Linked DNA regions of Canis lupus familiaris. The protein of the gene in region 2 interacts with the protein of the main gene of each other region in a biochemical or structural test. Links are inferred from orthologs where the notes say so. Each region holds a gene or a part of one and is shown on either strand. Other genes may lie near its edges.

Region 1 (4,467 bases), on a different chromosome or scaffold from region 2:
TGCCCGCAGGCCTGGACCCATTCTCTGGTCCAGCTCTTTTCCATTATCTACCAAGACCTAGGGCTGTGCCACCTGACCAGGTGGGCCTCTGGCAGGTGCTGCTTTACCCCCTGGGCAGGACTCAAGAAGCCCAAATGCCTAGACTTTGGAGTGCCCTTGACTCCCTAACCCGCAGCCAAGATAGAGGTGACAGGTCATGGGAACTGTCCACCCCGACACCCAGGCCAAACCACACAGCACCTTGTTAGTAGAATCTTTTTTATTCAGAAAAAAAAAAAAAAAAAAAAACCAAAAAACAAAAAAGTTTTCCAACCACACACAGGAGGGGTTTGGGTAGGGGGAGGTGTCTGTCCATCCAGCCCCAGCCCCCAGCCCATGTGGTTTTGGCAGCAATAAGGGGTGTGGGGTAATGGCCCAAAAAATAAAAATGGTGTACGTGTGTGTATGGGGAGGAGAGGGGTGCAAAAGCAGTGGGGAGTGGTAGGGGGCGGGGACAGACGAGGTCAGTACTGGGAACGCCGCAGGTGGGAAGCCATTTCATAACATTTCTTGTTGATCATACCACCGTGGACACCTTCTTTGCCCATCAGCAGGACTAGCGCTGGAGGAAAGAGAATGGAGGCTAGGACCCAGGTGTCACAACCCACCCCCTGCCAGCTGTTGAGCAGCTGTCCAGCCCTGGGGGCTGTAACCCAACCTCCTCTCTCCCAACCCCCCCAACACACAGGCAGGCTGTCAGTCACTTTGAAACAATGGGGCTTTTCAGGAGAGGGAATCAAGCTTAGGGCTCCAGAGGGTGAAACGGGTGAAACTAATTTAGGGACCAGGGATTCAGGCTCGGAGTAATAAGCACAGTGGGGCTTATTACCCCAAGGCCTAACAGAGTTCAGAAGACACCCAGTCTTTTGGCCATCAGTCTACCCTTTCCCAGAAATCAGGGTTTCTGCCCCCTAGAAGGCTCAGGCCAGGAAGGAACAGAAGAGGTAATGCAGTTCAAGTTCTATTAGGAGATGAGGAACTGAGGAGTGGAGGAAGCACCCAGCGGCCTGTGATCTCCTAGTACTGGGGAGCCACAAAGGAAACCCCAGAGGCTAACAGGTTCATGAGGGGACATCGGAGGCCGGGAGGCAGTCAGGGGTCACAGAAACTCACTCTTGGCAGTCATGGTGACAGTGATGTTGAAAGTGGGCGCTCCACCGCTGCTCTTGGTACGAAGGTCCATAGTAAACTCCCCATCCTGCAGCAGCGAGTCCCGGATCACAGAACACTTCTGGCCTCCCAGTGTCAGCCCGTTCACGAAAAAACTCGACCGGTCTTTGCCAACCAGGACACCGACCTCAGCTGGCTGCAAGGGGAAGGCAGCGGCCGTCAGCGTCAGGATCCCCCGGTTTCCCCCTGCCCTGCACCGCGCCCCACATGGGGTGTATGCCGTCTGCTTTGTGCACACGTGTGGAAACCGACAAACTCCTAAGAGACTGCTGAGACACGGGGAGACCATATCCCAGGTTGGTGTCATCCCACGGGGAACACACACCCAGGGAACGGGGCGGGGGCGAAGCCGGAGCGGACAGTGGCATGGCAGAGCCGGGTAGCCCATGGACGCGCACCACGCTCCTCCAGGAAAAGCAGAAGCGTGGAGGGGAAGGGAGGGGGCGGGCGGAGCAGGAGGCAACTTTGTCCTTATTTGGTCAAAGGTTCTGCAGGAGCCGCGAGGGGCCCGGACGCCTGGGTCTCCGGGCGCCGAGTCCAGGGCAGGGGCGCGGTCCCCAGACCAGCGAGCCGACCCCGGGGGCCCTCCGGGAAAGTTGGCCAAGTTGGCACGGCGGTGCGGGACTGCGGCCGGCCAGACCCGGGTCCACGGACCCCAGGGAACCTCTCCCCTCCCCCGAACACCCCAAACCCCCACATCCGGTCCCCTCCCGCCCGGAAATCCCCTTCCCCCCCTCCCGCACTTCCGCTCCCCCTCCCCACTTCCGGGCAGCGCGGACAGGGGAGGTGGTGATGGGGACGGCGGCAGGCATCCCTCCTTCCACAAGTCGCGCGGCCCTGCAACTTCTCCCGAAGTTCCCCCGCGCCGGGCCCTGCCGGATGGCGGGAAGGGAGGGCAAGGGGACTTCCGGGCCGGGGCTCAGGGAGCGCGGCGCGCCGACTTGGGGGGGCGTGGGGCGGCCTCGCCCTCCGTAACGGGGCCGGGCGGGGCGGGGGCCGGGGCGGCCGGGCGGCCTCCCGCGGGGAGGGGCGGGGAGAAGAGACCGAAGAGGAACAATGGTGGCGGGGCCGGGGTCCCCGCTCCCGCCTGGTGCCCGGCCCCGGCGCAACCCGCCGCGCCTGCCCGCCCCGCCCTGGACCAGGCGGAAGTGGGCCTCCGCACCGGGCGGCGCGCCCCTCCCCGCCCTGTGCCCCGGATGTAACGCCCCGGCGCGGAGAGCGGGGCGGCGGGAGGGATGGGCGCCGCCGCCGCCCGGAGCGAGGGCCGGGGACCTCGGGGGGGCCTGTTCAAGTGCGCTCGCCGTCCGCCGCCTCCGGGCGAGGACCCGGTCGCGGCCCTCGGCCGCCCTGCCCCGACCGCCCCCGCCCCGCCCCGAGCCGGCCGGTGCCCCGGGGGCGCGCGGGCCCCGTACTACCGTGATGTTGACGAAGGTCTTCCCGGGGACGGCGGCCCACACGGAGGGCGAGTCCTTATAGCCCACGATGGCCGCGTCCTGACAGGTCCCGTCCGCCATGAGGTTGTCGATGTAGGCGTTCCAGCCGGCCATGGCTGCTGCGGGGCTGCTGCGGGGCTGCTGCGGGGGCCACGGACTGGGCTCGGGGCCTCGGGCTGGCGGGCGGGGGGCGGCGGAGAGCTCGGGGCACGCGCTGCCGTCCGGACCGCGGCTCTGCTCGCTGTGCAGCAGCCCTCGCACCGCCACTTCCTGCTCCTCCCCCCCCCCTAGATTTTTATTTGCAAAGGGCGGCAGGGGCGGGGCCTGCTCCCTTTCCTCCCTCCCCCCTCGCCTGCCCAGATACCGAACTTTGCAAAAGACGATTTTAAAAATCCCTCCCCCTATTGCAAAATTTGCAGAGTTGGGTGGAAAGCTCTGTAAAAGGATGGAGGGTGGGGTGATGGTGGTTGGGGGGAGTGCGGGTGGCAGGGGGAAGTTCGGGTCAGGGCCCGCTCCGCTTCGCCTTGAATACAAACGGGACTGTGGTGCCGGGGAAGGGAGCGAGCCCGAGGGAGGAAAGGATGCGAAAGCCGGCGGACGGGCGAGCCGCGCGCGGGGCCGGCGGGGGGTGCGGGGCGCTCAGGGTTAAATGGAACGGCTGCCCCTCCCCCACCCCTGCCGGAGGGCAGGAGCGGCGGCGGCGGCGCGTGCGTCCGCGCCTGCGCCGGGCCGGGCAGGAGGGCGGGAGGGCGCGGGGCGGTTGGGGCCGGCGGCCCGCGGCGCGGGAGCGGGGTGCGCGCGGCGGCACCCCACCCCCCAGAGGCGGGCGGGCCGGGGACGTGTCTCCCGCGGGGCGGAAGGGGCGGGCACGCGGCTCGCTCTCTATTTTATTCAGTCACGACTTGCGGGAGCCCCGGGTCGCGAGGACAGATGGGCCCGGCCGCCCTCAAGAGTCCAAGGCGTCCACCGGGAAGGGGGGGCACGAGTGTCTCCAGTATCTGCCCGACAGACACGTGCAGGAGCAGCCCCCCCCCCAGGCAGGCCCAAGCCCCACGTCCCCGCCCCCCGCTGCCAGCACTTTGGGTCACCGGCCGTGCCCCTTGGCCCGGCGCGGCCGAGGTCACTGGGCGCGGGAGGCAGGGGCGGGACTACTTCTCGGGGCGGAAGGACACGGGGAGGTGGCCAGATTTGCAACTTTTCCAAGAGGGGGAAAGTCCCCTCCCGCTCGGGCCCCTCGGGCTCTTTCTTCTTCTTTTCGGGGAAACTTGTGCTGGGAAGCTTTGCGCGCGGCTCTCGCCGGGCGCCCCGCGGGCAAGGGAGGGAAGGGCAGGGCCCCGCGGCCGCCCAGGTGGGGCTGCCGAGGGTCTGGGCCGCTTCCGGGCCCCCACGCCCCCCGAGCCCGTTCCTCGACAGCCGCGCCGCTGAGTCACCCGGCCGCTCGGGCGGGGCGCGCTCGGGCACGTGGCGGCGCTCCCCGCCCGCTGGCTGCTGACCTCTGCCCGCCGCACCCCCGACCCCGGGGTGGAAAAGTCCGGGAGGGCGCGGCCGGAGCCGGCGGGCGTGGAGGGTCAGGGCCGGAGCCCCGAGGTGCCCACGCTCCCCGGGCCGGGGCGCACCCCGCGCCGCCCCCAGACCCGACGCTCAGACCGCAGGGGCCACCCCCTCCGGTCCGGTCCCGTCCCGCCCCGCCATTCATTCTGAGCCCTGGTCTAGGAGCACCGTCCACGGGTAGGGCCGGGGTCGCCAAATCCCCGGCTCGGCTGGGAGAGGGGCTCCCGACCGCCGCTCCATGAGCGGGGCGACAAGTGCTGTCCCAGCGCCCCGG
Region 2 (4,336 bases):
ATGGTGCAGCCCCGGTGGCTCAGTGCTTTAGCGCGGCCTTCAGCCGGGGGTGTGATCCTGGAGACCCGGGATCGAGTCCCACGTCGGGCTCCCTGCATGGAGCCTGCTTCTCCCTCTGCCTGTGTCTCTGCCTCTCTCTCTCTGTGTCTGTTATGAACAAATAAATAAAATCATAAGAAAAGAAAGAAAGAAAGAAAGAAAGAAAGAAAGAAAGAAAGAAAGAAAGAAAGAAAGAAAGAAAAAACATAATATGATAAAATAGTATTTAATATTATAAAGATAGTATTAGGAACAAATGATTGTCTCTAGATTTATAGTTTTTAAGTTTTGTAATTTTCACATAATAGTACATATATCGTCCATGCGGCATCCTATATAGCCTAAGTAGAAATTCTGCTAAGAAATTATGCCCCCAATTTACCACTATACATTTGAAGAAATACAGAGAGTTCTAAATGCTACAGTTTTTTGAAATTTCATGCTTAGATAGCACAAAGATAAAAAATACACATTTCAACTCCACTTTTGATCCTTAGCTAAGGGAAGGGAAGCAAACCATAGGCAAAGGGAAGATAAGGACTATAGAGCAAGTAATGTTTGAGTAACCACCGTCCATCAGGTATTTCACGTATGCTTTCCGGGTAAATTTTACTACTTAGAAGTAGGTTTAGTTATCTCTATACTACACCTTTATTAAATAGGAATAGAAAGATGAGAAGGTGGGGGGGGGGAGAATATTTTCCAATTTTCAAGATGGGGAAAAACGTGTTCAGGGCACTTCAGAGAAAAGAGCCTGAATTTAAATGTTCTCAATACACTCATCCCACGCAACACTCCAGGCGAGCGGTAGAAAATTCTAAGTGCGTTTGGTTTTTGTTAACATCCATCAGCAAGCTCTTTCACAACTCCGGGAGAGAGGCCTGTGTGTTCCTCTACACCCACTGCTGAAGTTTGCACAAAGTTTGAGAAACCCCCGGCACCTGCAGCTCCGACCCAGGAGCACAGGGGAGCGCGTCACTTTCCCGTCTTCGTCTCCAGATCCTTTTGACCTGCAGTAAGAACGTCCGGCTTCTGCGCCCCCCAAATAAGAGCCATTCCGGGGAAGGGGGACCTGGGGCCGCACAAACGCTTCGCCAAGGTGTGCGTCCGCAGAACTCGCGCGGGCCACTTCTGTTTTTGGCAGACGGCGGCCGCCCGGCCCAAGCCCCGCAGAAACCAGCACGGGAGCAGGGGCCCGCACGCGCGATCCCCGCCCCCGCCCACGCGCCCGCGCCCGCGCCTCGCAGCCCGCGCCCCGGCCGGAAGTGGGCGGGGCCTGGGCCGGCGCGGTGGGCCGGCCGCGGCGTGGGGGGGGGGGGCGCTTCTCCCGGGCCCGGCCCGCAGCCGCGCGTTTCCGGCGCGCTCCCCCGCGTCCTGCGTCCTGTGGTCTCGTCCGCCCCCGCAGCCATGTTGGATTGTGCTGCCGCCACCACCGCCGCTGCCGCCGCCGCCGCCGCCGCAGGAGGGTTGGAGGAGGAGTTGGGAGTTTAGCGCAGTCGCTGGAGTACGAGGTCAACGACCATCCGGCCTGGGACTCGCCGGGCGGGAGCCGGGAGCTTCCCTTTCTTTGCGCGGCCCGTCGTTGGCTCCTCCTTCCCGCGGCCTCCTCCTCCTCCTCCTCCCCGCGCCCGAGGAGCTGCGAGATGCTGCGCCTCTGATTCCCCTCCTCCCACCCCTGTCACCGAGAGGGGAGAGAGCGCTCGCCTGCTCGCCGGAGACGGCCCCGGACGCTCAGCCCCGCCGGCGAAACCATGAGCTCGGGCCAGCAGCAGCCGCCGCCGCCGCGGAGGGTCACCAACGTGGGGTCCTTGCTGCTCACCCCGCAGGAGAATGAGTCCCTCTTCACCTTCCTCGGCAAGAAATGTGTGGTCAGTGGCCGAGACCCGCGTCGCCATCCCCGACGATACCTCACGGGCCCGGGCACGAGGGCCGGGAAGCGGGAGCGGGGACGAAGGCGGGAGCGGCGCGGGGAGGGTCCGGCCGCCGCCAGGCCTCCAGCCAGCCCGGCGCGGCGGGTGCGGGCGGTGCGGGCCGGCGCCGCCGCCGCCGCCGCCCCCCGCCTCCCGAAGCTGACCGTGAGCAGGGAAGTGTCACCTCCGCAGGCCCGCCCTGGAACCCCTCCTGGCCGGGCCCAGGTCTGCGCCCTTGCTGCTGGCTCAAACTTTGCTCTCAGGCCAAGAGGAGATTTTATTCCTGCACGAGCTGCTGGATCTTAAAAACCGGGCGTCCGTACTGGCCCTTGTTTCACCTCCTGCCGCTTGATCTGGGGGTGGGGAGGAGGCTACCTTCTTTCACAATGGCAGAGGTTTCAGAAGTGGGTAGATCGGGGAATGAAGCCCGGATATGAATGAAGCGGGCCAGAATGGGGGTTTTTGATCCCCGTTTAGGCTCCCAGGAGAAAATGAAGTCGATTGCATCGGTTCAGAATGAGGGCAGGGAATGTTGCTGCCCCCCATTGCAGAGAAACAGCGTTTTTTTTTTTTTTTTTTTTTCCTCCAGCAGCCTCACCAGGCCTGGTTTCTGCTCTCCTCTCCACTGATTTTTTTTTTTTTTTTTTTTTAACCCTTCATTGGTGGGAGGAGGTGCTGCTCTCCCCACGACCATGCGCAGGAGAACCACAGTCTCTAGTAGTTCGTGGCCTTTTGGGGCCTGAGAGTGATTCTTAGGTTGGTGCTGTGCGGCCTGTTCCAACCCCAGATGGCCGGTTGGGAGCAAGCAGTTCTGCTGTGGGAAGGGGAATGTGTGTTGTTGACGGAAGCATTCATTACATTGGCTGCTGGCACTTCTGGGGGTGGGGAGGTTCTGCTCTGTGGTGTAGGCCTCGTCTGGCTGCATCTTACTGCTGTGGCTCCGTTGAACTGTAGTCGAGTTTGCTGAAATGCTGTTTGGGTCCCTGTCTCCCCTCTTTGCGTCTTAGCACCTGCATAGTATGTGCCACTGGAAACCAGGAAACCCCTACTGAAATGTCAACAGAGCAGTACCATTTTACAGCTTCTGTTGGTAGTGTTAAATATGTCAAACGAGGCTACATCTATCTGTTTAAGAAGTTAGGATAGACAATTTCTGGAAAGTTACTCTATGGGTTAATTGTTAACTTTATAGGAGTCAGCCTTTTTGTATCCTCTTGGAGATTGAATCATTACCTTCAATTCAGACGGGCCTGGTATTTTACTGATTAGAAGAATGAAATAAGAGGACTGGCTTAAAATCAAAATTTTGGGCAACAGTTTTAAAGACAACTGTCGTGTGTGTCCGTGTCCCCTCCCTCCCTCGCTTTTGAACAAATGAGAAAACTGAGCCAGTGAACCCCAAGTCACACAGCAGTTTAGTAGGTAACCAGAACTAGAAAGCCAGGACTTTGGATGCCTAGTCTGCTGTAGTTTCCACTACATCATGTTGTTTTAGAAGGGTTTTTTTTCTTACTTGTTATTGATTTATTTCAAAAAATGGTGCAAAAGGAATAATCAGTTCTTTTTTTTTTTTTTTTTCCCCACCAAAACTTGGTATAATTAGTGTGTGAGATTCTTAAAGCAGCACTAATTTTTGTATATTTTCGATTTAGGAAAATCTCCAGCTCTTTAAACTGTTACAATATCTGCAAATGAAAAAAAAATTAAAATTTTTTTGTTTTAGTTTCATTTGCTATATGATCTGTATCAGAAAGGAAATAGTTGTTTTACGTTTTACATACCAGACACATTAAGCTTAGGCAGGAAGGACATTATATTCAAACACTAGTACACTGACTAATTGCTCTATGCTTACCTGTAATGTTTACTGGTTTCAGAAAAATGAAAGATGTGAGAGAATACTGTGATTGAGAAAGATAGCCTTGCTTTCTGGTTAGCATAAGTGGATTGCTGAATAAGCCATCAGTATTCAGTGCTCAGTATCTTTATGTCATCTATTATTAATCACCTTTACCTTTTGAATTTGGCATTTCATACACTCTTGTGGTATGAAATTGTTGTGAAGATTAATATTTGAAGTCTCCAGTTACTTGAGAGTAAAGACTATTTTGTTTTGAAAAATCCTTTTTTTCTTTGCTGACTATGCCGCTTTTTGTAGTTTAAAATTATAGTGAAATACATTATCTCATTAAAAACATCAGCAATAACATTTACAAGTCGACCGGAATTTGTTAGGACAGAAGTATATTCAGAGCCCTAAGAGTTCAAGAAATGAAACAAATAGTTGCAGTCCCAGTTCTGGAGGAGCTGCATTCCTTCTTTGACTCAACAATATTGAGTAACTAAATGTTGAGGTCAAAATCAGGGTTGATGCCTACCCTCAAGGA

Evidence for each region.
Region 1: the proteins of WASL (region 2) and PFN1 form a complex in vitro, tested with the Homo sapiens proteins (2 studies listed by BioGRID). The link is inferred for Canis lupus familiaris from reciprocal best matches to the Homo sapiens genes WASL and PFN1.

Annotation. Positions count from the first base shown.
Region 1 is NC_049226.1:31,873,825-31,878,291, reverse strand, and holds PFN1 (profilin-1), read right to left. Parts: upstream 2,909-4,467; 5' UTR 2,757-2,908; coding exon 2,625-2,756; intron 1,346-2,624; coding exon 1,153-1,345; intron 602-1,152; coding exon 504-601; 3' UTR 248-503; downstream 1-247. UniProt on the Homo sapiens protein: Binds to actin and affects the structure of the cytoskeleton. At high concentrations, profilin prevents the polymerization of actin, whereas it enhances it at low concentrations. By binding to PIP2, it inhibits the formation of IP3 and DG.
Region 2 is NC_049235.1:11,772,674-11,777,009, forward strand, and holds the start of WASL (neural Wiskott-Aldrich syndrome protein), read left to right. Parts: upstream 1-1,405; 5' UTR 1,406-1,790; coding exon 1,791-1,907; intron 1,908-4,336. UniProt on the Homo sapiens protein: Regulates actin polymerization by stimulating the actin-nucleating activity of the Arp2/3 complex. Involved in various processes, such as mitosis and cytokinesis, via its role in the regulation of actin polymerization.